Oryctolagus cuniculus: one gene and its partners. The protein of the gene in region 6 interacts with the protein of the main gene of each other region in a pairwise test. Links are inferred from orthologs where the notes say so. Each region holds a gene or a part of one and is shown on either strand. Other genes may lie near its edges. The genes, in order: NME7; keratin, type I cytoskeletal 16; DYDC1; CDR2; MKRN3; TCHP; keratin, type I cytoskeletal 15.

Region 1 (3,938 bases), on a different chromosome or scaffold from region 6:
CTGCTAGCGCGCCTGGAAGGCAGTGGACCCTGCACCCACGTGCGGGACCTAGAAGCATCTCCGGCTTTTGATGGCTCAGCTCATGCCGTTGAGGCTATCTGGGGAGCGAACTGGGGGATGGAAGATATTTCTCTCTCTAACTCTCTGTCACTAGGTCTGTCAAAAAAAAAAAAAAATTAAATGATGTTGCTTCTAACAACAGAGAGAAATACACATGGAACAGATACTTTCGGAAAGGTATGCACAACCTTAGAGTATACTCAGATTTACCGGAAAACATGCCAAGGAGGGTGGCACTCATGTGATGAACAGAACAGGTCACTCCCGGCTTCAAAAACGATCAGTGAGTCTAAGGCCTCCCAAGACAGGTTCCTCAACAGTCACAAACCCTCTTCCACTTATATTCCACGGCTCTAAAAACAGGCACCCGGCGTACCGAGTCCTGAAACCGCGCTTTGAAGACCGGCTGCGAAACGTACAGGAGCAGCCAGTCTGACGGCAAATACCCAGGATGCCCAGGAACCAAGGCTGCAGGCGTGGCTGTCCCGGGGATTCCAACGCCAAGTTTCGTTCCTGTCACAACAAGCCTCCCCGGTCCACTCTTTCTCTATACCCGACGCCACTGGCCACCGAGCTCCGACCGACGCGCGCGCCTCTCCAGCGTCACCTCGGAGTTACACAAGCCTATCGTCTAAGTTACCTCGGGATTCCTTTTCTATTTCGGCGGTTTCACGTTACAGGTTCCCGGATTCGCTCCTCGCCCATGCCGAAGCAGACCCGCCCAGGCCTTCCGGACAACCAGCCGCTGTGTCAGTCATGATCACTTCCGATTACCCAGGGTTTCACTTCCGGAATATTCTTCCCACAGAGGCGAGAACACACAGTCTGTGGTGCGTTTAAATTCAAGTAACGCAGACGATACAGCGTCTCGCCTCATCAATGGAAAGCTGGAGAGGGGTTTATTTCAAAATAAAATAGTGCGCTCTTTGGCGCCTAGCCGCGTGTTAACTTAAACTTCCGGGTCATCTGCCAACCAAACGGAAGTGAAAATGCTGGCAAGAGGCGGGAGGCGTCCTGTCGCCCCAGGAGACAGCGTGAAGGGGCGGATCTGTCAATGAGCTGGGCGTCACTGCGAGGACTCCCAGCCACTAGGGACGAAGGGGCTGACCGCTGACGTCTCCCGGGGTGTCCGGCAGGGGGCGGGGCCCTGTTGCCAGAGTAACCGGATGATGGTGTGGATGGCGGTGCCTTCCTGGGGCAACTCGGCTTCCTCGTGCTGAGATCCTGAAACTATGGTGAGTGCTAAGGCCGACCAGAAGAGCCGCTCCGGGTTCCTGGTTACGCAGCTTCGCAAGTGTTGGGTCGATGGGCCCTCGGAGGCGTCCGCAACCCTGTCTTCTCCCCATTCTCTCTCCCCCATTTGCCGTGGGCTGTCCCTGCATTCTCCCCATTCTGTTTCTTGCAGCGCCCTGAATTCCGCTCTAATATTACCGTAAGCCCTTAAAGTAAGGCAACAGAAAGTTTAGGGTTAAGACGCGGAGCCTCAGGTGAGATATTATTTCAAACCAGCCTCCTCTTTTGGGTATGCATTATTCATCAGTGCGTTTTTCAGGCTTGTGGACTTCACAGTAACGTTCCACCTAAAAGGCAGATGGTGGTGTGTAGGTGACTGTGGCAACACTGGCCCGAATCTCGCTAGGGCCTGGAGTCTGCCCCGCGGAGTGCCAGAGCACTGCCCCACACTCTGTAAAGGCCCCTTAATCATATTTGTAGAGTGGATCGGCTCGCTTGCATCCAGCTGACTACCTGCTATGTCCGTGCTGCTTAACAGGAATAACTTTCAGGATCACTTGAGAGCTTCTAGAATTCACTTGCTTGAGCTTCCCTCCTAAATTTTTGCATGAATAGGGATGAGGCTCCATGTTTCCATTTTCAATAAGCCTATAAGTGATTTTGCTGTCTTTCTGCCTGGTTTCTCCTGTTTTTCACCATGTTATTTAATGATACCACTGTATTATAACTGAAACTAGAAATCAGTGACATCCTACATTCCCCTTTCTCTGACATTTCCCATATTCAATTGGTCATTATTTTTGTTTAGAATTTCCTCATTTTTACGTTAGCTATTATATTCATTTCTTTTACAGTCTGGTCTGGCAATTTTCTAATCTATCGTTTTTTCTGCCACAAGGAAGAAGTTACTAAGTTCCCATCTGTTAATGCTACTCACCTCTTTGAAAGTCTAGACTTCCGTTTCCTACAGTAAAGTTTGGAATGGCACACAAGAGGCCCTCCACAAGCTAGCACTTACCTTTCTAGCTTCTTTCTTGGCTGTCCCTTTCCTGGATACTCCTTTTAGCCGTTTGCCTTTTAGCTACTTACTACTGAACATAGCAGACAACTTCAAACTGGCAGTATGTCTCTTCCCTCTGCTTGGCACATGGTACTGCTTCTGCCCTTTTCCCTTTTCTTGCATATGAAACTCCTATTGATCCTTCCAAGACTCAGCTTAAGTGTCTCTCTTTCTGTCATGGCTTTTCCTACACTCCACAAGAGGTAACTGTTTATTCTTTCTTGTCACCACTGTATATAGTACACATTTCTTTTATTGTAGATACCACCTTTACTTGAAATTATTTGTTTATAGCTTTGTCACCCTTCCTAAACTGTGAACTGTTAGAGGTATAGATGTTTACTATGTTCACTGCTATTGCTTAGAGCATATTTGGCACTCAAATGTTTGCTGAATGCATAAGAGAAGAGGAAAGAATGAGGTAAGTGGTCTGAACGAGAAGGAGATTGCAGGACAGAGTCCTCACTTCTCAGCTAGAGCATCGTTAAAGCCGTCATGTGGCAAATGGTAGAGAATATCAGTGCTTAGAATTCAATGACCTGTGCAGTGGCATAGGGAGCTGAAAAGTGACATTCATTAAATACTGTTTATTTTTCCTGTCTGCTACTTTTTGCTTTGTTTGCTGTTTTCACTCAGAGTTTCCGGCAATGCTAAGAGCAAACAGCAGTAAAGTGCTCTGCCTGCCTTCTTTGTTCCCATCCTGGCTGGGGTTTCATGGTTGGTGATTCTTTCAATTAGATGGTCAGTGAAGGCCCTTCTGAAGAAAGGACTTTTGGTATTGAGACCTAAATGATACAAAACGTGCTGATCTGGATCTTCAGGGTGCACTAACAAGATCACAGTTCCTGAGGCAGAAAGGGGCAAGCATAAATTTGAGCAACTTATGGTTTAATAGAGTACAAAAATAGAAACTGGGTTGTGAGGTGGTGCAGGGTTAGCTGCTTTGGGAGGTACATGGGGCAGAATAACATGAGATACAGTCTGTATGCAGATGCCAGACTGTCTGTTGTCTGTCTGTCTAGCTATATATCATCTACTTGGCGAGGCTTATGTTTCTCAAACTGTTGGAGGTGACCTATTATTCTGTCATGAAGTAGATTTGTGGTGTGTAGCCAGCATTAACAAAGAAGACTAACATAGAAACTTACCACATCTACTGCATGCCGTGAGGGTAGCTTTCATGAACTTTTGTTTTAAATTGTATATATTTTGTGAATGTACTGGGTTATGACATAAAACATATTACTGTGAGTCATGATCCACAAAGTTCAAGATACTATATACTTAGAGCAACATATACTTTAAAAGGCAAAGCAGTTAAAATCAGAAGCATACAGATTTGTCTTTTCATCTAATGACAGTGTTCTTAATGTGTGGCAAAGAAAGGAATTTAACAAGAGGCGAAAATTGGCTAGAGTGAAATGATCACATTTCTTTCTGTATCCAGCATCTCTCCTATGCTGTTGGATGTCAGTCCTTCATCAGGAAGGGTGGAGAGCAATCAACCGTGCTCCGTCTAGCCTCTGGTGTCTGTATGGCTGTGAAGATGGGGTCTCTCCATCAGCAACTGAGGATGGTGGCTGTC
Region 2 (4,193 bases), on a different chromosome or scaffold from region 6:
AGCCCTGGCTGTTGCGGGCAGTGTGGAGTGAACCAGTAGATGGAAGACCTCTGTCAGCCTCTGAATTATAAATAAATAAATAAATAAATAAATAAATAAATAATAAGATGGGGGGTGCTGAGACATGGAGGGAAGGTGGTGCAGGACAATGGAGTGGGCCCGGGCTGGGGGAGCAGGCGGGCCGGGCTCCAGTGTCAGGTCCATGCTACTGGGCATCCTGTGAGCTCTCCTGTGAGTGTCCCAGCGCCCTGGTCTGAGCTGGCGGCAGGAGTGACACCGGCTTGCAGAACTGAGTGGCACATGTCAGGCACCCTGAGACATGCCCAAGCCAGGTGGGGCCCAGAGACTAAGGCTGAATGACTGAATGTCTTGGGAACTGGGGACGTGAGAAGAAAGAGCTGGGGCTGTGTCTGTGCGGGGGCTCTGAAGTCCCTGGCAGGGTCAGGGGTCACATGCAGCATTAGTGCAAGACAGGGCCTGCCTCCCACCGTGCAGGTGGGTGGCCGGGATTAGGTGAGGGCAGCAGGGGGAGTGGAGAGGCCATATGCTGGGGGCGGCGTGTGGGTGCAGGGTCCTGCCTGGAGGTGTGGGGGGGACCCCAGACTGTAGCGGTGAGCTTGAGGGGGCAGCTGGACTGGAAATGAAGGCTGAGGGGCAGGGCTGGGGGGTGGTCCTCTGTGGCTGGTGCTGTGTCTTCCCCTTTTACAGATGAGAAAACTGAGGCTTGGTGGGGCTGATGGACCTGCCTGTGCTGTGCAGCTAGCAGGGGCCAGAACAGGAGAGCACCTCCCCGACTGGCTCTGCAGGGCCTGCTCTGCACCTCACAGGTGGTCTCTCAAACAGGGAGTAGACCCAGCAGGGGAAAGAGACTGGAGAGGACTCCTTAATCACTCAGGCCCCGGGAAGGGAGGGGAGGGGCCTCAGGGCACACAGCAAGCAAAGCACAGTGCAGCCACAGCCCAGCCAGCCCCCTAGCTGCAGCCCAGGACGCCCCAGGAAGGCATCGCTGACATCTCTAAGTGAAGGCTGTCACCCGTGGCGCGGGGTGGGGGGGCCGGCAGTCCCTCTGACTCACAGCCCACTAGGACGCGGCTGTCACAAAGTGAACTGTGCCCAGGCCCTGCCAGCCCCGGGGGCTCCAGGAACGGGAGCCGGGTTTCTGGCCGCCCAGCCTGAGTCACAACACATTTGTGTTTGTGCATTTTTCTCCCAGCCCCACACCCCCCGATCTGGGTGGGAACTCGAACCGGCACACAGCGAAGTGAGTCGGTCCCAGCTGAATAATCTGGAGTGGGAAGTTGGGCCGGGCCATGTGACGAAATCCCCAGGGAGCCTGGAGTCAGCAGTTGGCAGGGCCCCGCCTTCCCGGGCGCCTATAAAGCATCTGGGGCTGAGGCAGCCACAGCATCCTCTCTCAGCCTCCCCAGCACCTCGCTCTTCTCAGCCGGCTCCTCGCTCTCGCACCACCTCTCGGCACCATGACCTCCTGCAGCCGCCAGTTCACGTCCAGCTCCATGAAGGGCACCTGTGGCATCGGAGGCGGCTCCAGCCGCATGTCCTCCGTCCTGGCCGGAGGATCCTGCCGGGCTCCCAGCGCCTACGGGGGCCTGTCTGTCTCCTCCTCCCGCTTCTCCTCTGGGGGAGCCTGTGGGATCGGGGGTGGCTATGGTGGCGGCTTCAGCAGCAGCAGCGGCTTTGGTGGCGCCCTGGGTAGCGCCTATGGTGGAGGATACGGTGCTGGCCTTGGTGCTGGCTTCGGTGCTGGTTTTGGTGCTGGTTTTGGTGGTGCTGATGGTGGCCTCCTCTCTGGCAACGAGAAGATCACCATGCAGAACCTCAACGACCGCCTGGCCTCCTACCTGGACAAGGTGCGCGCCCTGGAGGAGGCCAACACCGAGCTGGAGGTGAAGATCCGGGACTGGTACCAGAAGCAGCGGCCCACTGAGGTCAAAGACTACAGCCCCTACTTCAGGACCATCGAGGAGCTGCGGAGCAAGGTGGGCGGTGCTGGGGGCTGCAGCCCTAAGAGGGGTCTTTAGGACACCTCTGTGTAGCAAACAGGGAGACCGAGGTGCTTCAGGGGAGTGCCAGGGCACCCAGGGAAGTGGTAGCAGAGGGTCCCTTTTGAGCATTTCTGTGTTGGAGCTGGGGTTGGGCCTGAGTCTTGGATTCCCTGCAAGCGTTCCCTGCACTGTAGCAGAACTCAGCTTCTCAGGCTTCCCAGCTCAGGGTGGCAGTGGTGGGAGGCGTGGGGTACAGGTGCACTCCTACCACTCTGACATGGGTGGACAAGGCACCCCTCTCTGGCCAGGGGAGTGGAGGGCCTGACCTGCCCACTGGTGACCCCCGGGGAGGCTCCTTTTGCCCCTCTGCCCCTCACCCTTGAGCGGCATGGTCCAAGGCTGACCAGGCCTCCCGTCCGTTCACCCCCGCTCCAGATCATCTCGGCCACCCTTGAGAATGCACAGCCCATCCTGCAGATCGACAACGCCAGGCTGGCGGCTGACGACTTCAGGACCAAGTGAGCACCCTGGGGGTGGGCTGCGGGTCTGGGGAGTGGGCCGTCCACCCAAAAGATGTCAAGGATGGAACCTGAGACTCCGCCATCTGTCCTGCCAGATATGAGCACGAGCTGAACCTGCGCCAGAGCGTGGAGGCCGACATCAACGGGCTGCGCAGGGTGCTGGACGAGCTGACCCTGGCCAGGACCGACCTGGAGGCGCAGATCGAGGGCCTGAAGGAGGAGCTGGCCTACATGAAGAAGAACCACGAGGAGGTAGGGTTGCGGCTGGCTTCGGGGGTACGAGCTTGGATTGGTGGAGTTCCCAGGTCCACCTGGAGCCAGGAGCGGGGTCCGCTGAGCTGAGTGTCGCCTGCCACCCCTTCTAGGAGATGCTTGCCCTGCGGGGTCAGACTGGCGGGGACATCAGCGTGGAGATGGACGCTGCTCCCGGCGTGGACCTGAGCCGCATCCTCAACGAGATGCGTGACCAGTACGAGCGGATGGCGGAGAAGAACCGCAGAGACGCCGAGGCCTGGTTCCTGAGCAAGGTGGGGCCGGGGGCCTCGGCGCCCCCGCAGGACGCCCCAGCCAGGGGGGTCCCGGAGTGCCTCACACTCGCTGGTCCTCTCTTGCCTCTCAGACCGAGGAGCTGAACAAGGAAGTGGCCTCTAACAGCGAACTGATCCAGAGCGGCCGCAGCGAGGTGACCGAGCTACGCAGGGTGTTCCAGGGCCTGGAGATCGAGCTGCAGTCCCAGCTCAGCATGGTACGAAGCTGCAACCCCGAGTCACCGCCAGGGCCACCCCTCCACACTGCCCTCTCCCTCCTCCCTGGAACGGGACTGGAGGGATTGTGGTACCCATTATCCAGATGGAGACATCAAGGCCCAGAGTGGTGCAGTAGCTTTTCTCCATGTTTTCTGGGCCATCACTACCCAGCTGGGAGCCCAAGTCCGTGCACCTCTAGGGAAACGTGCTCCAAGACCTGGAGGGACAGGGCCGTGATCTGCAAACATTCGTTCTCTCTCTCTCTCTTGCAGAAAGCATCCCTGGAGAACAGCCTGGAGGAGACCAAAGGCCGCTACTGCATGCAGCTGGCCCAGATCCAGGGGCTGATTGGCGGCGTGGAGGAGCAGCTGGCACAGCTGCGCTGCGAGATGGAGCAGCAGAGCCAGGAGTACCAGATCCTGCTGGACGTGAAGACGCGGCTGGAGCAGGAGATCGCCACCTACCGCCGCCTGCTGGAGGGCGAGGACGCCCAGTGAGTGCGGGCCCGGCCCACCCCAGCCCCTCCCCCCAGGTCCCTGCGCATCTAACGCCCCCTTTTCTCGCCCACAGCCTCTCCTCCCAGCAAGCATCAGGTCAATCCTACTCTTCTCGGGATGGTAAGCTGAGGACTGGCCCCCTGCCTGTTCCCTGGGGGATGGGGGCCAGGCCCCGTCCCCAGCGCCCCCAGCCCTCTGTCCCCGCTGCCCTGCAGCCGGCTCAGGTCCCATCTCTCCCACAGTCTTCTCTTCCTCATCCTCGACCTCTGCCGCTCGCCAGACCCGGCCCATCCTCAAGGAGCAGGGCTCGGTCAGCTTCAGCCAGAGCCAGAGCCAGAGCCAGAGCTCCCGGAACTGAGCCGCCTCTGCCGGAGCCCCTGCCCGCGCCGGCCTCGCCCCCTAGAGGCCGGACCCGACCTGTCACCC
Region 3 (2,765 bases), on a different chromosome or scaffold from region 6:
GCACTGCAGGCCAGGGCATTCACCCACTGTGCCACAGTGCCAGCCCTGTTGTTTGTATTTTTAAAGAGAGTATCCTGAGATATTCACCATATTTCTTATATATTTTAAATTTGTGCATGTACTTTTATGTTTTAGCAATTATTACTAGAATTCCATTGTCATTAAGAGGTATTGGTTAATTGTTTTAAATAATAATGCTGAATTTTGATGTTGTAATTCAGAAATTTTTTACAAAAATTGAAAGAAAAGTAATATATTAATTTTGAAGTGATTTAAAAGTAAAAATGATTTTTTTGAGTGCAGGAATCACTCCTAGACTCGGGCAAAACCCTAGCTGAAATTAGCGATCGATATGGAGCACCAAATTTGAGCAGAGTGGAAGAACTTGATGAACCAATGCTGTCTGATGTAAGCATCTAAATCTTAAAAACAATGCTTTCCCCCTTTGGTAAAGTCTAGCGCAAACGAGGCCAAGCTTTGCTGGCAAATGGATTTTTGCTTCATAGGAAGAAAACCAGCTGCCCGGTTGCTGACCATAGTCCTAACTGGCATTTCGCCCTTTTGCTAACTAACGTGTAACTGGCATATTCAAATCTGTGTTTATCTATATACCTGTATCTATGGCTGAGTCATGGTTGTCTGCATATTTGGAGTTAGACTTTGGAAAAATTCAAAGCCTCTTCAAAATATGTATTTAAAATTATTTTGTGAAATACATCATATTCAATTTCAGGGGAGACTATTTTGGTTTACAGTAGCAAAGCCCAGAACAAATAAAATCCTAATGCGAGTGTATGCTTCATGGCATGTGCCTGCCACTGTGGCAGATGCAGTCGTGACTGTGGTAGATATTTCTTTGTGGAGTTTGCCGTCTAGAGGGGAAACAGACAGTTAAATCGGACGCGTATTTAATGGTGCTTACTGGAGTGACAAGACGATGTGCTGTCCAAACCAGCCTGCTTTTGAGAACAAAAGGAGCCCGATCAGCAGGTGTGAACCAGCGCTGTCCTGGCAGGGAGGTGCGTTTGGCTCCTGTAGTCAGTGTGCACTAAGTGGGAAAGGCAGAGGCGTGGAGGAGCCTTGGTCAGCGAGGACTCGGGAGGGAAGTCAGTGATTCGTAGCTCAGTGCTGAGAGCACAGAAGGTGTAGAGAGTCGGGGAGGAGAGACTGCAGAGGTGAGGAAGGGAGGCGTCAGGGCTCAGACTGTAAAAGAACTTGCAGCTCCTGCTCCGAGGCTTATATTTTACTGTATAGGGGTTGATATGGTCAGAACTGCATTCTATTTTATTTTTCCTGGCGGTTTAAATTAATCTTTTCTGCATTTTTAAATTTCTTTATAATGACAATTTACTTTTATCATCAAGAAGAGATGTTCCACCTGCTAGGACAACAGTTACCTTAATAGTTCCAAGCTTCATTGGATTTTTGACAATATCATGGTAGTTATGGAGTCCCAAAGCATTAGCATCAACAGAGATCAGAGAAGGGCCATGCATATGATAAGTGCCCCTTTAAAAACCTCACTCCTGCAGGAGAAGCACCTGGCTCCTGGCTCCTGCCATCGGATCAGCGCGGTGCGCCGGCCGCAGCGCGCCGGCCGCGGCGGCCATTGGAGGGTGAACCAACGGCAAAAGGAAGACCTTTCTCTCTGTCTCTCTCTCTCACTGTCCACTCTGCCTGTCAAAAACAAAAAAAAAAAAACAACAACAACAAAAAAAAACAAAAAAACCTCACTCCGGTGCCTCAATTGTTCGGTTGCTTTAACACTCTTTAAAGCTTCACATTGCTGCTGAGAGTCCGGCAAAATATCCTTCAGCACAGTTTCTTTTGTCTGTGGCATTCCTACTGATTTTTTTTTTCCTGTAAGTTTTGGAGAAGATGCACTATTGGCTTTAACTACTGAAGCTGTGGAGTTGTAATATCTGCTTTTCTCTGGACACCCCCTGTAACTTGGGCCACGATTTGTGAGCTAGAAGTGGGTGGAGCTCCTTGCGTGGTGTGTCGGGGAGAAGTAGATGTCTGGAAACAGAGGGAGTCCTGTGCTGCTTGGCTACCTTTTCTGTTGCTTGGGGGATTTTTTCCTTTAATAGAAGCCACTGCTGCGTTCTGCTGAGTGCCTTGCCTTACTCTGGCCTTGCGGACCACAACCGGTTCTTCTGTGGCGTTGGAGACACTTTCTGCACCAAAGCTGCTCTAGAGCTTGTGCCGTAAGAGCAGTGTCGTCTCCAGGCTTGTCATATAAATAACAATTTTTTTTTTAAATTTTTTGACAGGCAGAGTGGACAGTGTGAGAGAGAGACAGAGAGAAAGGTCTTCCTTTTGCCGTTGGTTCACCCTCCAATGGCCGCCACGGTCGGTGCACCACACTGATCCGAAGGCAGGAGCCAGGTGCTTCTCCTGGTCTCCCATGGGGTGCAGGGCCCAAGCACGTGGGCCATCCTCCACTGCACTCCCGGGCCACAGCAGAGAGCTGGCCTGGAAGAGGGGCAACCGGGACAGAATCCAGCGCCCTGACCGGGACTAGAACCCGGTGTGCCGGCGCCGCAAGGCGGAGGATTAGCCTGTTGAGCCGCGGTGCCAGCATAAATAACAATTTGAGAACATGGCATTGGTTCTCCAAATGCTTCTTCTTCTTTTTTAAAATTTATTTGACAGGTAGAGTTGTAGACAGTGAGAGAGAGAGAGAGAGACAAAGAGAAAGGTGTTCCTTCCATTGGTTCACTCCGCAAATGGCCGCTACGGCCGGTGCTGCGCCAATCCGAAGC
Region 4 (3,500 bases), on a different chromosome or scaffold from region 6:
CCAGGCCATAGCAGAGAGCTGGATCAGAAGTGGAGCAGCTGGGACTCAAACTGGCACCCATATGGGATGCTGGCACTGCAGGCGGCCCCTGAGTCCCAGCTTTCTGCTTTCAGTCCAGCTCCCTGCTAATGTGCCTGAGAAAGCAGCAGATGATGACCATGTGGGAGACCCAGTGGAGTTCCATGCAAACCCCAGCCATCTGGGGAGTAAATCAGAGGATGGAAGATTGATTCATTCATATTCTCCCTCTCTTTCTCTCTCTATCTGCCTTTCAAATAAATAAAATGAATCTTTAAAAAAGTCATAGATTGTTTTGTGTATCTAGTGTGCTGATCTTGAAGAATGTGAAGAGAAGTTGAAAAAATGAGAGACCTGAAACAGTGTTGTTGTTTTAAAGATTTATTTAGGGGCTGGTGCTGTGGCATAGCCTGCAGTGCTGGCATCCCATATGGGTACTGGTTCAAGTCTCAGCTGCTCCACTTCCGATCTCTGCTATGGCCTGGGAAAGCAGCAGAAATGGTTTAAGTCCTTGGGCCCCTGCAACCACATGGGAAGACCCAAAGGAAATTCCTGGCTTCAGATTGGCACAGCTCTGGCCATTGTGGCCAATTGAGGAGTGAACCAGGGGATGGAAGTCCTCTCTCTCTGCCTTTCCTTCTCTCTCTGTGTAAGTCTGACTTTCAAATAAATAAATTTATCTTTAAAAAAATTGAAACAAGATTTATTTATTTTGAAAGTTATAGAGTGAGGGAGAGACAGAGATCTTCCATCTGCTGTTTCACTACCCAGAGGACCGCAGTGGCCAAGCACTGGGCCAGGCCAGAGCCAGGAGCCAGGAATCTCATTTGGGTCTCCCACACTGGTGGCAGGGGCCCAAGCACTTGGGCTGTTCTCCACAGCTTTTCTCAGGCCTTTAGCAGGGAGCTGGATTAGAAGTGAAGGGGCCCATGCGGGGTGTTAGCCCCGCAGTCATCATTCTTAATGACTACTTCCATAAAGCAGATGACTGTTTTTCATTTCTTACAAATAAGGGTACATAAGAGTGTACTTTACGTGCTAGAAGGACCCAGTTCAATTGAATTTTAAATGGAACTCGGGTGTCTTTCTGTGCAGTTTCACCTTCTACTGGGATCTGACTTAAGCTATGTGGGTACATGGTTCATTCTTATTTCAAGGACTGGGTTGTATGAAAGGCTGAAGTGAGAGCATTTGAATTACGCCAAGATTCTTCTCTGCTAGATCTCCAGCTTGCTGCTGAGCTCGGGAAGACACTGCTGGATCGGAACACAGAGTTGGAGGATTCGCTTCAGCAGATGTACACAACCAATCAGGAGCAGTTACAGGAAATTGAGGTAACTGACTCGGCAGCAGAGTTAGCCTGGAGGTGTAGCTTGAACTAGTCGTAGACTGCTAAAACCACCCTTGCGGTTGGAAGCAGCATTTAATTTCAGATGCATACTTTTCGAGAATAACCCTCAAAGATGTGGTTGGTTTTTTTTTTTTGTTTGTTTGTTTTTTTTGTTTTGTTTTTTTTTTGACAGGCAGAGTGGACAGAGAGAGAGAGAGAGAGAAAGGTCTTCCTTTGCCGTTGGTTCACCCTCTAATGGCTGCTGCAACCAGCGCACCGCGCTGATCTGAAGGCAGGAGCCAGGTGCTTCACCTGGTCTCCCATGGGGTGCAGGGCCCAAGCACTTGGGCCATCCTCCACTGCCTTCCCGGGCCACAGCAGAGAGCTGGCCTGGAAGAGGGGCAACTGGGACTAGAACCTGGTGTGCCGGCGCCGCTAGGCGGAGGATTAGCCTGTTGAGCCGCGGCGCCAGCAGATGTTCTTTCTTCAGGTTTTCCCAACACATGGGTCTGCTATGATGAAGGAGATTTCTCTCTCTGCCCTTGGCAAAGTATTGTAGAAGTACATGGCTTGAGACTTGCCAGTATGCAAAGCAAAATGAAGCTGTGAATGTTACACTTAGTTTTCATTGTTTTCTTTTAAAAATGAATTATGCACTACTGTAGATGTACAGAAAGAATAATACAGTGAGCACCCATGTACTCACCACCCAGCTTTAGAGAGAAAACTTCCCACACTCTGGAGGCCCTTACACCCTTCTTTGGTGGTTTCTCCCTCCCCCCGCAACTACCAAACTCCATCCTGAATTTGGGTTTAGTTAAAAAGTCATACAGTACTTTGTTCCATAATAAGTTTAAACTCATTACACCATTCAGAGAATTAGTCATCAAATATGTGTTTCTTTTCTCCTTGCTGTGATCTTGATTTACTTACATTTTTGATGGCTTTTTTTAAATTAAAATGTTGTACATAGTTTAAACAAACTAAAATGAAAGATCCTAGACTAAGGCTTTAAAATGGAAGGTGCTGCTATCTTATAATTGGTCCCATTCAGGGACCCAATTGTGTGTAGGCCACTTGACTGTAAAGAACATAATTGTGGATCTTTTTTTTTTTTTTTTTTTGACAGAGTTAGCAAAAGAGACAGAGAGAAAGGTCTTCCTTCCGTTGGTTCACCCCACAAATGGCTGCTACAGCCGAGCTATGCTGATCTGAAGCCAGGAGCCTGGTGCTTCCTCCTGGTCTCCCATGCGGGTGGAGGCGCCCAAGCACTTGGGCCATCCTCCATTGCCTTCCTGGGCTACAGCAGAGCTGGACTGGAAAAGGAGCAACCGGGACTAGAACCCGGCATCCATATGGGATACTGGCGCTGCAGGCGGAGTATTAACCAAATGAGCCATGGTGCCAGCCCCCCATAATTGTGGATCTTAATCAAGCAGTTGTCCCATCAGAACTTCCTTCTCCACACAACTCCCAACAAAAGCCTCAGGCTAAATTACAGTCCCCCTCCCCCAGCTGGTGCAGTAGACCCACGACTAACAGACCTTAGAACAGGGAAGCAGTTCATGAGGATCAGTATGTACTTACTACATGCTGATTTCCTGAACCAGGTGCTGGGAATTCCAAGTAGAATTATACAGTCCTTGCCTTGAAGCAACCACATTACACAAAGTTCCACTTTTGGATACAGATAAATCCATGATCAAAACAAGGAGAAATCTATAATCTCAATATCCATTAATTTTACACAGTAGCCTAATTAAGGTGTATACAGTGGGTCTTCCCCTTCAGCAGGATTTATGGATACAGCTAGTGATGTGACTAAAACATACCTAATTCTAGGAAGGCCTAGCTTCTAACGATACTGAAGTCTCCAGGAACCCTGTTTAACACACTGTACATCAAAAGAGCATAGAGGGGAGAGCACTGTTGTGCAGTGGGTTAAAGTGCCTTCAAATGCCCACATCCCACATCAGAATGCCAGTGTAAGTCCCAGCCATTCTGCCTCCAGTCCAGCTTCCAGCTGATGCACCCTGTCGGGCAACAGAAGTGATCCCACGCCGTCCACGTGGGAGAACCAGATGGGGTTCCAGGTTCCTGGCTTTGGCCTGGCTCAGCCCTGGCTGTAGAAGGCATTTGCAGGGGTGAACCA
Region 5 (4,224 bases), on a different chromosome or scaffold from region 6:
ATATTTTTGGAGGAAATATTTTAAAAGCTTTAAATTAGAGGATTATATGATTCCATGTGTAATTTATAGATTTATATGCATATTTCTTATGCTTTTCTTATTTTTATTGATATGTTCTAGACATATGCCCATATCTAATAAATTTAAAAGAATGACTTAATCTTGTTCCTGATATCCTTTCATGATTTTTTTAATGTCTTTTGTTAATTAGTGATATCACTTTAAAAATTTCTAGTCTGGGTTATTCGAACTTTGTTCGTTTTTTCTCAAGTAATTTGGTACAAATTTATATTTACTTAATTAGGATTTAATTTGATGACATGGATAAATGTGTCATAAATATTCAGACTTTTTCACTTTAGAATGGAAATTTAAGTTATAAAAATTTCCCTCTAAGAAACTTATTCTAGCAAATACAATTCGTCAGCACATCCTAACACGGAAGGATTAATTATGAGACAAAGAATAAATCAAATGTTTGAAATGCTGGAAGTGCTAATGATCACATTCAGGGCATTAAAGGGAGAGGGAGCATAACCTCCTTAGAAACGCAGAGAGCTCTCCTGTAACATTCAGCAGACAGCCGCGCGCCCCTGAGCAAAGCAGCAGCACAAAGACAGTGACTGTGAAAGGAAAGGGAAGAAAGCAGCTCTCACCGTCAGGGCAGCGGCCGAGCCTGAAAAGCTGTGCTGACCCCGCAGCCTCAGCCTCGCTCGCTGGGCGGAGGGAACAAAGGCCACCAAGAATTAAACCAGCCGGGAAGAAAAGCCGGGTCGCGCCGGGGGCAGGAGCCTTGCAAGTCCCACAAAGGACGCCCTCGGCCGGGGCTGACAGCCTCAGCCACACGTGCTCCCTGCTCGCGTTTCCTCCAGCAGCCCAGGCAGACCCTGCAGCAAACAAAGACCCCAAGAAACGATGTCTGGTGGCCGCCGCGCAGCGCACAAAGCCCCCGCAGGGGCAGCCAGGGGGCAGCGGGACACCACAGTGGAGACAATGCGCGGTGCGCAGACAAAGGCGGTGTAAAATCCACGCAGGGCATGCTTCAGAAACTGCAGGATTAGCCCATCAGCACGTGGAGAAGCAGCGAGGATCGTGAACTTTCTTTACGCAGACACGTTTGACAAATAATCAGAAGTGCATGGCAGAAACTAAAGACATGGAATTAAAACCTCATCTGCCAGAGGAGACAGTGTGGGAGGGGGGCTTGGGGTCTGCGGGAAAGCAGCAGAGCAGGGAGCGACGCCAGAGGAGGGGGCGCGGAGCCCGCCTTTGCCTGTGTGAACAAAGGAGCTGTCAGATTGGTCGGCCGTGGAGACCCGGCGCCGCGCGCTGCCGGTGCCACCACAGGAAGTGTCCGCCACGCTGCCTGCAGGGGAAAGAAGGTAGGAACACACAGTCACAGGGAACAGAGAGTGGGGGAAAGGAAAAAAAGGTGCACACTTCCCCCAAAGACACCTCCGTGACCGTCCCGAGCTCCAGGGCTCAAGCCCAAAAGGAGACAGCACCGGGGAAGTTCCCGAATCGTTTCTGGGAGAAGAAGCTGCCATGGAAGAGCCTGCAGCTCCCTCTGGTGCCCAGGAGGCATCTGGGGCCCAGGCAGGGGCTGAGGCAGCAGGGGAGGGTGCATCTGGGCCCAGCCTCCCTGAGTGTGAGACCTCTGGGGAATCTGTGGCTCCAGACACAGCCCCTGCTCGCGCGGCCTTGGGCCTAGTCCCTCTCCGTGTGGCTCCCAGCCCAGCCCATCTGCGGATGGTGGGCCTGAGGCACGTCCAGGCCGCAAGGGGAGGGGCCAGGCCCAGTCACCTGCCGAGCCGGAGCACTGGCAGCTGGACAAAGCAAGTCGTCTGCAGGTATTATCTGCATGGGCTGTGCAAGGAGGGGGAGAACTGTCGCTACTCTCACGACCTTTCTGGCAGGCAGGTGGCCCGAGAGGGCCATGGCGCACCGCCCCGGGCCTCTGCAGACAGAGGCCCCAGCATGGCTGCGCCCAGCCAGCCCCCAACTCAGGAAGTGGCGGAAGCCGCCCCTGCTGCATCCTCAAGCTCCTTGCCTCTGATTGGCTCGGCTGCTGAAAGGGGTCGCTTCGAAGCCGAGTTGGAATGCGCTGGTCAAGGGGCTGTCGGAGGATCAGGTGTAGAAGGCTGGGAAGAGGCCGTTGAGTTTGTTCCCGGGCAGCCCTACCGGGGCCGCAGGGTCGCTTCTGTCCCCGAGGCTCCTCTACAGAGCTCGGTGACTGAGAGAGAGCAGATGGCTGTGGGCATGGGGCAGCAGATGGCTGTGGGCATGGGGATGCAACTTTGCCCTCACGCTGCCAGGGGACAGTGCTTTCGTGGGGAGAGCTGTATGTACCTCCACGGAGAGATATGTGACATGTGTGGGCTACAGGCCTTGCACCCCTTGGATGCCGCTCAGAGGGCAGACCATAGAAAGGCCTGCGTCGAAGCACACGAGAAGGATATGGAGCTCTCGTTTGCCGTGCAGCGCAGTATGGATAAGGTGTGTGGCATCTGCATGGAGGTTGTCTATGACAAAGTCAACCCCAGCGACCGCCGCTTTGGCATCCTTTCCAACTGCAACCACCCCTTCTGTCTTAAGTGTATCCGTAGGTGGAGACGTGCCAGACACTTTGAGAACAGGATCGTCAAGTCCTGCCCACAGTGCAGAGTCACCTCCAACTTTGTCATTCCCAGTGAGTTCTGGGTGGAGGAGGAGGAAGAGAAGCAGAGACTTATTCAGCAGTACAAGGAGGCGTTGAGCAACAAGCCTTGCAGATATTTTGCCGAAGGCAGGGGCCACTGCCCGTTTGGAGAGCACTGCTTTTACAAGCATTCATACCCTGAGGGCCAGGGAGAGGAGCCTCAGGGGCGGGGTGGTGGACCGTCGGCCGCATACTGGCATCAACTTTCGCAGCCTGTGCAGCTGGGAGAGGGCAGCCTGCTCTTTAAAAGCAGTAAAAAGGAGCTTGTCACGCTTCGGCTGGCCAGTCTGTTGTTTAAGCGGTTTCTTTCACTGAGAAACGAGTTCCCCTTCTCTGAGGAGCAGTGGGACTTGCTTCATTATCAGCTGGAAGAGTATTTCAACTTGAATCTGTAGTATCCTGCCACACTCTGATCAAGTCTGCTGGGGCTTTGTCGTCTGCTGTTGGCTGTTTTCCCTTTATTGACATGCCTGTCACTTTCAGGGGCTGTGGTGGCGACTTTTATGCAGTGTTTCTCTGTTTTCTTGTCTATGCCCCGAATCTTTCCCCTAGGGTAATGGTGGTTTCATGTGTTAAAAAATAGTAAAGAATCCTTAAAGTTACTGTTTGGTGGAGCTAATATGACTGTTGCTTTGTGGGGTTTTTGTCATGTCTGTTTTTCAACAAAGTTCACTCAGTCCTAGTCTAGTGTTTACAGAATTTCTACACTCATTTTGAAGTCCCTCAAGAACAAATGTGACAGGGTGAAAGGGAAGTCTTAACTGGAAGCTTTTTGCTACAGTAGCCTTAAGAAGTGGACACTCGCAGGGCCTTGCTTGTTTTTGTTTGTTTACATCACTGCTCCTTCTGGCATCTCTTAAAGTGCACTTGTTAACTTGTGGTTACTTTGTGATTTCGTGTTTTACTTGAACAAAACCAGGTGCAAATGTTTACATGTTTTTATCCTGTTCAACTTGATGTGAAGTTATTTTATTTATATTTGGAAGTATGTGCTTAAAAGTGATATATTATATATGCATATTTGTGTATATTAGCTCTGTATTGGAAAATTTATATAAAATATACATCGTGATGTATATGTTTGCATAATAAAATAAATGCAGAGATGAAAGCTGAGGTCAAGGGATAGCAGGCTTGGCTGCTGTGTGAATAATCTTTCCCTTGCACAGATGTCACTTTTTAGCACCTAATGAAAACTGTTGTTCAAGTGTAATGCCAAGTGTAACAGATACAAGTCTTAAAGGATATATGAAACATGACATTGGTAATTCCTATGACCTCACTGTGCTGTTATAAATACAGAAATGTGTACTTCCATGCAGTAGAGCCAACAGCTCATTCATTATAACATAAAATCCTGAGCTCAGACATACAGTTGTTCATTTTCATTTTTTAAATATTATTTTTATACTTTGAAAACGGGCTTTTCATAAATTTATCAAAATAAAGGTAATAAGCATACAACATGTAAAATAGAATAAAATACTAAAACTAGTTAGGATATAAGATTGGAAAGATAAAAGAAT
Region 6 (3,500 bases):
GGAGGTCACTGGCCATGACCCCAGTGCACGGCCACAGGGCTCAGGCCCTGGCAGTGCCTTCCTCCCGCCCAGGCCTGGTGGTCTCCATCACTCCAGGGGCTGCTGTAGAAGCTGCCTGCAGTGCTTTTAGGAGATGAGGTATTGGGAAGGGGTAGCCTCAGATTCCGAGGGCAGTCCTTCCGGGAAGGTTTGCAGAGCTTGGGGGACAAGCTGACGGGAAGGTTGGTCCTCCGGAGCCTGTTGCTGGGCCCTGTGTGCTCTCTGGCTTACTGCCGGCCAGCAGCAGTGGTGCAGAGCCTCTGCCACCTGTTTCGTGTTTGCCCAGGGAGGAGGCCAAGGAGATGTGGGAAAAGAGAGAGGCCGAGTGGGCCCGAGAGCGGAGTGCACGCGACAGGCTCATGAGCGAGGTAAGCCAGCATCTCCTCCAGGCCCGGGGCCCCAGGCAGGTGTCTGGAGTCCACCGTGGAGCACTGATCCCACCGGCGCTGCTGGGGACAGTCTCTTCCAGTTATCTTACGTGGGCTTGGAAACTCTTGTTGAAAGAACTTGCAGGCCAGCACCGCGGCTCACTAGGCACCGGCGCCCCGGGTTCTTGTCCTGGTCGGGGCACCGGATTCTGTCCCGGTTGCCCCTCTTCCAGGCCAGCTCTCTGCTGTGGCCCGGGAGTGCAGTGGAGGATGGCCCAAGTGCTTGGGCCCTGCACCCGCGTGGGAGACCAGGAGGAAGCACCTGGCTCCTGCCTTCGGATCAGCGCGGTGCACTGGCCGCAGCAGCCGTGGGAGGGTGAACCAACGGCAAAGGAAGACCTTTCTCTCTGTCTCTCTCACTGTCCACTCTGCCTATCAAAAAAAAAAAAAAAAGAACGAACTTGCAGAAAGTAAAACTGACAGCACCCGAGCCTTGTCTTCGGCATAGCCACTGGCATCTTTCTTTCAACTCCTGCTTCCGTGTGTGCCGGTGCCTATTATACTGTGCCGTTCGAGGCGAGCGTTTCCACGTACTGCTCTGTGTGTAAATGCCGTGTCACGGCCAGATTGTTACCACGCGTCCTCTTGAGGGCCTCCCAGCGTGCCTTTCCATCGCTGTCTGGTGCGTTCTAGTTTGTTCTCATTCTGAGCCACTGTAAGCAATGCTGCCCGGAGTGTTTTGGGCTTTTCCACATTGAGATTTCTCCCTCAGCACGGGGAACCAGCCATGGTCTGGAGAGCACACGTGGAAGACGCCCAGTGGCTGGGTGGTCTGTGTCACCTGTGTGCCGAGAGCTCCGAGTGGCTTAGAGCAGGGAGTCCCGTGTGCCTGGCGGTGGGAACTGGGGTCTCCGTTGGTGATTTCCCACTCTTGTGAATACCAGGTGTCCCCAGTGGCCGCTGATTCTCCTCGCTCCAGCCTGGGTCCTGGTCGTGGCTGCTTTGCAGGTTCCCTCCCGAGAGCGTGACCGTAGGGTGTGTCGGTGGCTTCCCAGGCGCCTCTCTGATCCCCAAGGCCGTCCGAGGCTGGTGCAAGACATCACGCTGCTCTGGGGCCTTGAGTGGGGGATGTCACCCCATGAGCCGAGGCCCCCCCACCCCCTGTGGCCATCTGCGGGGCTTGTGGGCTTCCCCACTGCTAGGGAACGAGTCTCACTCTGCCCGAGTCTGAGTGGGGCCTGGCCGTCCTGTCGGGCTTTAGACCCGAGGCTGAGGGTTAGGTCGCCTGCGGAGCTGCCTGGCCAAGGCTTGTTCTCAAGTCTGCTTCTTCCTTCCTGCCGAGGCCAGGTCCTGGCGGGAAGACAACAGCAAATACAAGAAAAGATTGAACGAAACCGACGGGCGCAAGAGGAATCCTTAAAGCACAGGGAGCAACTCATTCGCAGTCTGGAGGAGGCGAGGGAGTCGGCTCGCCGGGAGCAGGGGCAGAGTGAAGAACAGAAGTCGGCCAGGAAGCAGGAGCTGGAAGCCCAGGTGGGCTGAGCCAGGGCCCTGGGCGGGAGGCAGCCTCTGCAGGGGACGCATCCTTGCCTCGCTGCAGGGCAGGCCTGAGGGCTGGTGCGCTTTCCGCACAGCTCGCTCGTGTTGGAGAGTGCAGTGCGCTGTGGCCCTGGGTACTGCAGCTGAAGCCCTGGCGCACCCCACACAGGGTCCTTCGCCTCTGGTGGGCACGGCTGGCCTGTCTGTCCCCTCCGTCCTGTCCGCACCTGCGGACAGGTGGCTCCTTGGGCCACAGTTCTCCATTTATTCAATTCCACAACCTGAGGTGGAACACGGAATATTCTGCCCAACACACAGCCGTGTGTGGAGCTTTGTATAAGACCCGGACGGCTGCTGGCCAAGCCTTTTCCAGTCCCCAGGGGCCCCTCCCATTTCCTGGCACCTGCCGCCCCTGCTCCTTAGAGCTCTGGTCCTCCAGCCCAGCTGGGCCCGCAGCCTCCCCTGCTGAGCAGGCGCAGGGCTGTGCCCCGGGGCCTTGCCTTGGGGTGACTTTGCTCTTGGGCCTAGGTGGCAGAGCGCCAGCTGCAGGCACGGGAGGCTGACCAGCAGGAGGAGGAGGAGCAGGAGGAGGCCAGGCAGGCAGAGCAGCTGTCGGACGCCTTGCTGCGGCAAGAGGCGAAGATGATGGCCGAGCGTGGCTACCGGCCCAAGGTAGGAGCGCGCCTCCGCGGCGTGTCCACAGCCCCGCTGAGCTGTGCTGTGCTGTGCAGTGCAGCGTCTCGGTTCTGTCTGGGCGCTCCTCTTGTGTTTGCCTCCTCCTGACTAGTAGAGAACCTCGGCGCAGGGTCTGTTTCAGTCCTTCGTTGGGCCTCCAACAGCCTTCACGCTTTTTGGCTCCTGCCACTGCAGCCCAGACTCTGATACCCCGCCGCCAAGCTGCGTGCCTGTCCAGCCTGTCCAGCCTGTCTGGGGGCCAAGAGCAATCTGAGAAGGGCGGTGGCCACAGCTGGGGAGAGGTGACAGCAGGGGCAGGCTCCCGACTGGTGAGACAGGAAAGCTGCCTGGTGCCCCACGGTGCCTTCTCGAGGTCATGAGCTGTGAGGGGAGGAGGCTGGCCCTTCCGGGTCAGGGAGTCCCAAAGCCAAGCAGAACAGAGCGAGCGGGGAGGCCACCGCAGGGAGCTCCCCTGGCCGTGCACAGCGAGTGTCTGGGGACGGGGCTTCCCAGGGCGCGCAGGAGTGTGTCAGGGCTGGTGCTTTACGGAACCACCGCAGGGAGCCTGTTTCCGTGTCGGGCAGAGCTTCCAGCTGGACGTGAAGAGCCGTTCGTGTCGTGCTCTTCGCTCTGACTTGCGGTGCTCTTCCACCGCCCCCATGTCTGCTTCCTTGTTCCTCAGCCTCGCGGACACCCCAGAATTGCCTGGGACTGACGCGGCTGGTGCCAGACGCCCGGAGAGCAACGGTGCTGGAGCCTCGACGCAGAGCCGCCCAGCAGCTGCACCAGGTTCTGTGGGGGCCGGGGCACCGGGGCCCAGGCACGGAGCTGTGGGGACGTGCAGCTCCCAGCCAGAGACCCTTCCCTGCTCTTACTCAA
Region 7 (4,031 bases), on a different chromosome or scaffold from region 6:
AAGCTGGCCCAAGCGGCATCAGTAGAGACAGGATTTGAACCCAGGCCCGAGGGATTCCAGAGCCCCGTCCACCCCACCACACTGCAGCCTTGGCCCAGGAAACCCCCCTCCTCCTGAGTCTCCCTCTCTTGTCTTGCTCGCTCTCTGCTCCCAGACTTTCTGTTCATTCTGGAGTCGGGGGCCAGAGGCTGAGCCACACCTGCACGTTGCATTGACCACAGTGTCAGGTGGCCCCAACTTGGAGGGCAGAGGGGATGGTTGTCCTCTCTGAGTGTTTGACTTGACCTTCAACATCTCTGGCCAACCAGCCTCCCCACGTCTTTGCTCTTGGCAATGTTCAGGCTGGTTGAGACTTCTGGCTCCGGCCCTCCTCAGCTCTGCAGTGCCCGACAGGACAAACGGGGGTTAATCTGTCCCTGCTAGGCAGCGACATGCCTCTCCAGGAGAAGGCAGGGGCTTTCTGGAATGTGCCCCGGCCTTATCTGCAGAGGTTTGCCCCAACGCGTCCCGGGAGCAAGCAGAGGTTCAGTGACATGTGCAGTTGGCAGGTGGCGGCACCATCAATCAGCCCCCTGTCAGGGCTCAGCCTGCTGGGCTTTTGCAAGTGTGCCAAGGCCATGGAGGCTGGGGTGAACTGGAGGAGAAGGAGAGATCCTTGGGTTGGAGGGAGGGAGGCAGAGGAACCCCAGGGAAAGGACAGATGCTGGTCGCCTCAGTTGGATCAAGTCTTCCTCTCCTGTCCTCAGCCTGTCTCCCGGGGCCCCACAGCTCATGTACCAGGTCTGTGAGCACAGAGCAGGGTTTGGGAAGTACAGTCCCCACTGAGAGTGGGGAGCCGTCTGTGTCGGAGCAAGGCTCCCAGGGCAGGAGATGGTGGTGGCCAGGGTCTGCCCATGCTGTGGGTCCTTGGGGTGGGAGAAACCCACCGAAGGCACAGCTGGCTGGGACTTTGCTCCCTGCTGCTCTCTCTCCTTTCTCCTGGAGTAGAGAGATGGACCCGTAATCCAAGTGTTAAAATCATGGCCTGGGGCAAAACACCATTCATTCTGAATCATCTTTTGTTGCATTAAAAAAAAAAAAAACCTGCAAGGAGCCACGTGGAGGTGTGCAGGCAGCTGTGTTTGTCGGGAGGGCAGAGGAGCTGGCTCGGCTCTGGGGGAGGAGACATGGTCCTGCACCCCCCACCCCCCACCCCCAGGGATATATAAGGAGCTCCAGGCTGGGGAGACAGGCGCTGTGCTCTGGTCCCAGCCCAGATACCTGCCCGCATACCCAGTGTTGGCTGAGACCTCACCGGCTGCCTGACCATGGCTACCACATTTCTGCAAACTTCTTCCTCCACCTTTGGGGGAGGCTCTACCCGAGGGGGCTCCCTCCGGGCTGGGGGAGGTGGCTTTGGTGGGGGTAGTCTTTATGGGGGAGGTGGCTTTGGTGGGGGGAGTCTTTATGGGGGAGGTGGGAGTCGCAGCATCTCGGCTTCTTCTGCTAGGTTTGTCTCTTCGGGGTCAGGAGGGGGCTATGGGGGCGGCATGAGCTGCGGCTTTGGTGGAGCAGCCGGTGCTGGTTTTGGTGGCGGCTTCGGAGGGGGGTTTGGCGGTGGCTTTGGTGACTTTGGTGGTGGCGACGGCGGCCTCCTCTCTGTCAACGAGAAGGTGACCATGCAGAACCTCAATGACCGCCTGGCCTCCTACCTGGACAAGGTGCGCGCCCTGGAGGAGGCCAACGGCGAGCTGGAGGTGAAGATCCGGGACTGGTACCAGAAGCAGAGCCCGAGCAGCCCGGAGCGCGACTACAGCCAATACTACAAGACCATTGAGGAGCTCCGGGACAAGGTGAGCCCCAGGTGACAGCAGGAGGGGAGCAGGTGCCAGGTGCCCTGCACGTGTCTGCTTCTGCCTGGGTGATGACTGCGTTATGTGCAACCTCGGCAGAGTGGCCGTGCACCTGCGTTCCAGGAGCACGCGCTGGCGCACATCTGCTCACCTTGGCAGTGTGGGCAGGAGGGCTCTTGGGAATCCCGTTAGGTCCAACAGGGGCACAGGTAGGGGCAATTATGGAGAGCGACTCACCCTCCCTGTCCCACACGCCCTGCAGGAGTCTGCTCAAAGTGTTCCTTTACCTCCTTGGCAAGAATGGTGCTGGGGTGTAACCGCAGGAGCCCCGAGTGCCAGGACCTCCCGCTGCGCCCTTCCAGGGGGCTTTGGTGCCAAGAACACTGCCAGGACTTGGGGGACCTGGGAGCTCTTTCCAGGCTCTGCCACTGTCTCCCTCACTGGCACTGGTTTCCTCCCCTCTAAAACGCCTTCTCGGCCCCCTCCACGTTCCGTAGACGCACAGCTGTGTCAAGGAGTGTAGGGGGCAGTGGCCGTGAGCTGTGCCCAGAGGGGCCGGTGCAGGAGGACCCTGGGGAGGGCTACGGCTGGAGCCCACTGCACCTCACTCTAGCACATTCTTGGCCAGCCACATCCCACGGGGTGGGGAGGGGGGGTAGGGTCCCAGGCCATGCCCTGGAGCCGAGGAGGGCAGCACCTCAGGTGAGGCTGCGCCAAGGGCCCCAGGGGCTTCCCTTGGTGGTGCCAACCTGGAGGTGGTGAGCGAGGGGTTGGCGGGTGGCAGGAGGGCAGCAGGGGAGGGAGGAATCCCTTAGGCATCCGAGCTCCTGGTCTCCTGCAGATCCTGGCCGCCACCATCGACAACTCCCGGGTCATCCTGGAGATCGACAACGCCAGGCTGGCTGCCGACGACTTCAGGCTCAAGTGCACACCTGCCTCCCCCGCCCCGCCCACCCCGCGTTCTCCTCTTTGCTGGGCCTTGCTCTCCCTCCGACTCAGCCGCCCGGATCCCTCTCTCTCCTCAGGTATGAGAACGAGGTTGCCCTGCGCCAGAGCGTGGAGGCCGACATCAACGGGCTGCGCAGGGTGCTGGACGAGTTGACCCTGGCCAGGACCGACCTGGAGGCGCAGATCGAGGGCCTGACTGAAGAGCTGGCCTACATGAAGAAGAACCACGAGGAGGTGCGACTGGGGGTGGTGGTGGTGGTGGGCGTGGCGGGGGGGGCTGCTGCTTCCTTTGTCACAGCTGGTAGAGTGCTTAGTGGCACAGAGGCCCTCTGGTCCTCTAGTGTGAACTGCTGACCTCCTGTGTCCTCCCTGGGTGGCGCCTGGGGCAGGCAGGAGATCCTCACGAGCAGTGGCGGGCGTGGTGAAGGCCAAGGTGACCGTGTGAGTGAGGGGCACAGCCACGGTGGGCATGCGGGACCCCAGACTCTCGGCTCTCTCTTCGGCTCCTCCACCCTGCAGGAGATGAAGGAGTTCAGCAACCAGCTGGCCGGCCAGGTCAATGTGGAGATGGATGCGGCGCCGGGTGTGGACCTGAGCCGCATGCTGGCCGAGATGAGGGAGCAGTACGAGGCCATGGCGGAGAAGAACCGGCGGGACGCCGAGGCCTGGTTCTTCAGCAAGGTGGGCCTGCCCTGCCCCACCCTGCCCGGCCAGGCCCGGCTCCCCAGGTCTCGCAGGAGGCCCCCGGGGCTCACTTCTCTCCTGCGTGTGACTCACAGACCGAGGAGCTGAATAAGGAGGTGGCCTCCAACACAGAGCTGCTTCAGAGCAGCAAGACGGAGATCACAGACCTGAGACGCACCATGCAGGGGCTGGAGATCGAGCTGCAGTCCCAGCTCAGCATGGTAGGGCCGCCTGCCCTCCACTGCCCGCCGCCTGCCGCCGGCCCGCCTCCACCGGCCAGGGCCCTGGGCGAGTTCTTCCCCACCTGATGTGTCGCTCCTGCAGAAAGCCGGGCTGGAGAACTCGCTGGCGGAGGTGGAGTGCCGATACGCCACGCAGCTGCAGCAGATCCAGGGGCTCGTGGGCAGCCTGGAGGCCCAGCTGGGCGAGCTGCGCTGCGAGATGGAGCAGCAGAACCAGGAGTACAACAGGCTGCTGGACATCAAGTCGCGGCTGGAGCAGGAGATCGCCACCTACCGCAGCCTGCTCGAGGGCCAGGACGCCAAGTAGGGCAGGGATGCGGAGCAG

What was found.
Region 1: the proteins of TCHP (region 6) and NME7 interact in binary tests that used the Homo sapiens proteins (3 or more experiments, as listed by UniProt). The two-hybrid records come from large-scale screens. The link is inferred for Oryctolagus cuniculus from reciprocal best matches to the Homo sapiens genes TCHP and NME7.
Region 2: the proteins of TCHP (region 6) and keratin, type I cytoskeletal 16 interact in binary tests that used the Homo sapiens proteins (3 or more experiments, as listed by UniProt). The link is inferred for Oryctolagus cuniculus from reciprocal best matches to the Homo sapiens genes TCHP and KRT16.
Region 3: the proteins of TCHP (region 6) and DYDC1 interact in binary tests that used the Homo sapiens proteins (3 or more experiments, as listed by UniProt). The two-hybrid records come from large-scale screens. The link is inferred for Oryctolagus cuniculus from reciprocal best matches to the Homo sapiens genes TCHP and DYDC1.
Region 4: the proteins of TCHP (region 6) and CDR2 interact in binary tests that used the Homo sapiens proteins (3 or more experiments, as listed by UniProt). The two-hybrid records come from large-scale screens. The link is inferred for Oryctolagus cuniculus from reciprocal best matches to the Homo sapiens genes TCHP and CDR2.
Region 5: the proteins of TCHP (region 6) and MKRN3 interact in binary tests that used the Homo sapiens proteins (3 or more experiments, as listed by UniProt). The two-hybrid records come from large-scale screens. The link is inferred for Oryctolagus cuniculus from reciprocal best matches to the Homo sapiens genes TCHP and MKRN3.
Region 7: the proteins of TCHP (region 6) and keratin, type I cytoskeletal 15 interact in binary tests that used the Homo sapiens proteins (3 or more experiments, as listed by UniProt). The two-hybrid records come from large-scale screens. The link is inferred for Oryctolagus cuniculus from reciprocal best matches to the Homo sapiens genes TCHP and KRT15.

What each region holds. Positions count from the first base shown.
Region 1 is NC_091438.1:29,352,378-29,356,315, forward strand, and holds the start of NME7 (nucleoside diphosphate kinase homolog 7), read left to right. Parts: upstream 1-1,138; 5' UTR 1,139-1,292; coding exon 1,293-1,295; intron 1,296-3,938. UniProt on the Homo sapiens protein: Possesses an intrinsic kinase activity. Displays 3'-5' exonuclease activity with a preference for single-stranded DNA. Does not seem to have nucleoside diphosphate kinase activity.
Region 2 is NC_091448.1:21,051,123-21,055,315, forward strand, and holds the start of keratin, type I cytoskeletal 16, read left to right. Parts: upstream 1-1,393; 5' UTR 1,394-1,478; coding exon 1,479-1,997; intron 1,998-2,438; coding exon 2,439-2,521; intron 2,522-2,619; coding exon 2,620-2,776; intron 2,777-2,889; coding exon 2,890-3,051; intron 3,052-3,143; coding exon 3,144-3,269; intron 3,270-3,542; coding exon 3,543-3,763; intron 3,764-3,840; coding exon 3,841-3,887; intron 3,888-4,009; coding exon 4,010-4,125; 3' UTR 4,126-4,193. UniProt on the Homo sapiens protein: Epidermis-specific type I keratin that plays a key role in skin. Acts as a regulator of innate immunity in response to skin barrier breach: required for some inflammatory checkpoint for the skin barrier maintenance.
Region 3 is NC_091446.1:71,135,142-71,137,906, reverse strand, and holds part of DYDC1 (DPY30 domain-containing protein 1), read left to right. Parts: intron 1-303; coding exon 304-408; intron 409-2,765. UniProt on the Homo sapiens protein: Functions as part of axonemal radial spoke complexes that play an important part in the motility of sperm and cilia. Plays a crucial role during acrosome biogenesis.
Region 4 is NC_091450.1:16,880,403-16,883,902, forward strand, and holds part of CDR2 (cerebellar degeneration-related protein 2), read left to right. Parts: intron 1-1,239; coding exon 1,240-1,352; intron 1,353-3,500.
Region 5 is NC_091443.1:13,380,130-13,384,353, forward strand, and holds the start of MKRN3 (probable E3 ubiquitin-protein ligase makorin-3), read left to right. Parts: upstream 1-1,424; 5' UTR 1,425-1,545; coding exon 1,546-3,093; 3' UTR 3,094-4,224. UniProt on the Homo sapiens protein: E3 ubiquitin ligase catalyzing the covalent attachment of ubiquitin moieties onto substrate proteins.
Region 6 is NC_091452.1:18,803,129-18,806,628, forward strand, and holds part of TCHP (trichoplein keratin filament-binding protein), read left to right. Parts: intron 1-325; coding exon 326-407; intron 408-1,754; coding exon 1,755-1,940; intron 1,941-2,474; coding exon 2,475-2,618; intron 2,619-3,303; coding exon 3,304-3,336; 3' UTR 3,337-3,500. UniProt on the Homo sapiens protein: Tumor suppressor which has the ability to inhibit cell growth and be pro-apoptotic during cell stress. Inhibits cell growth in bladder and prostate cancer cells by a down-regulation of HSPB1 by inhibiting its phosphorylation.
Region 7 is NC_091448.1:21,109,378-21,113,408, forward strand, and holds the start of keratin, type I cytoskeletal 15, read left to right. Parts: upstream 1-1,231; 5' UTR 1,232-1,307; coding exon 1,308-1,832; intron 1,833-2,673; coding exon 2,674-2,756; intron 2,757-2,857; coding exon 2,858-3,014; intron 3,015-3,299; coding exon 3,300-3,461; intron 3,462-3,559; coding exon 3,560-3,685; intron 3,686-3,788; coding exon 3,789-4,009; intron 4,010-4,031.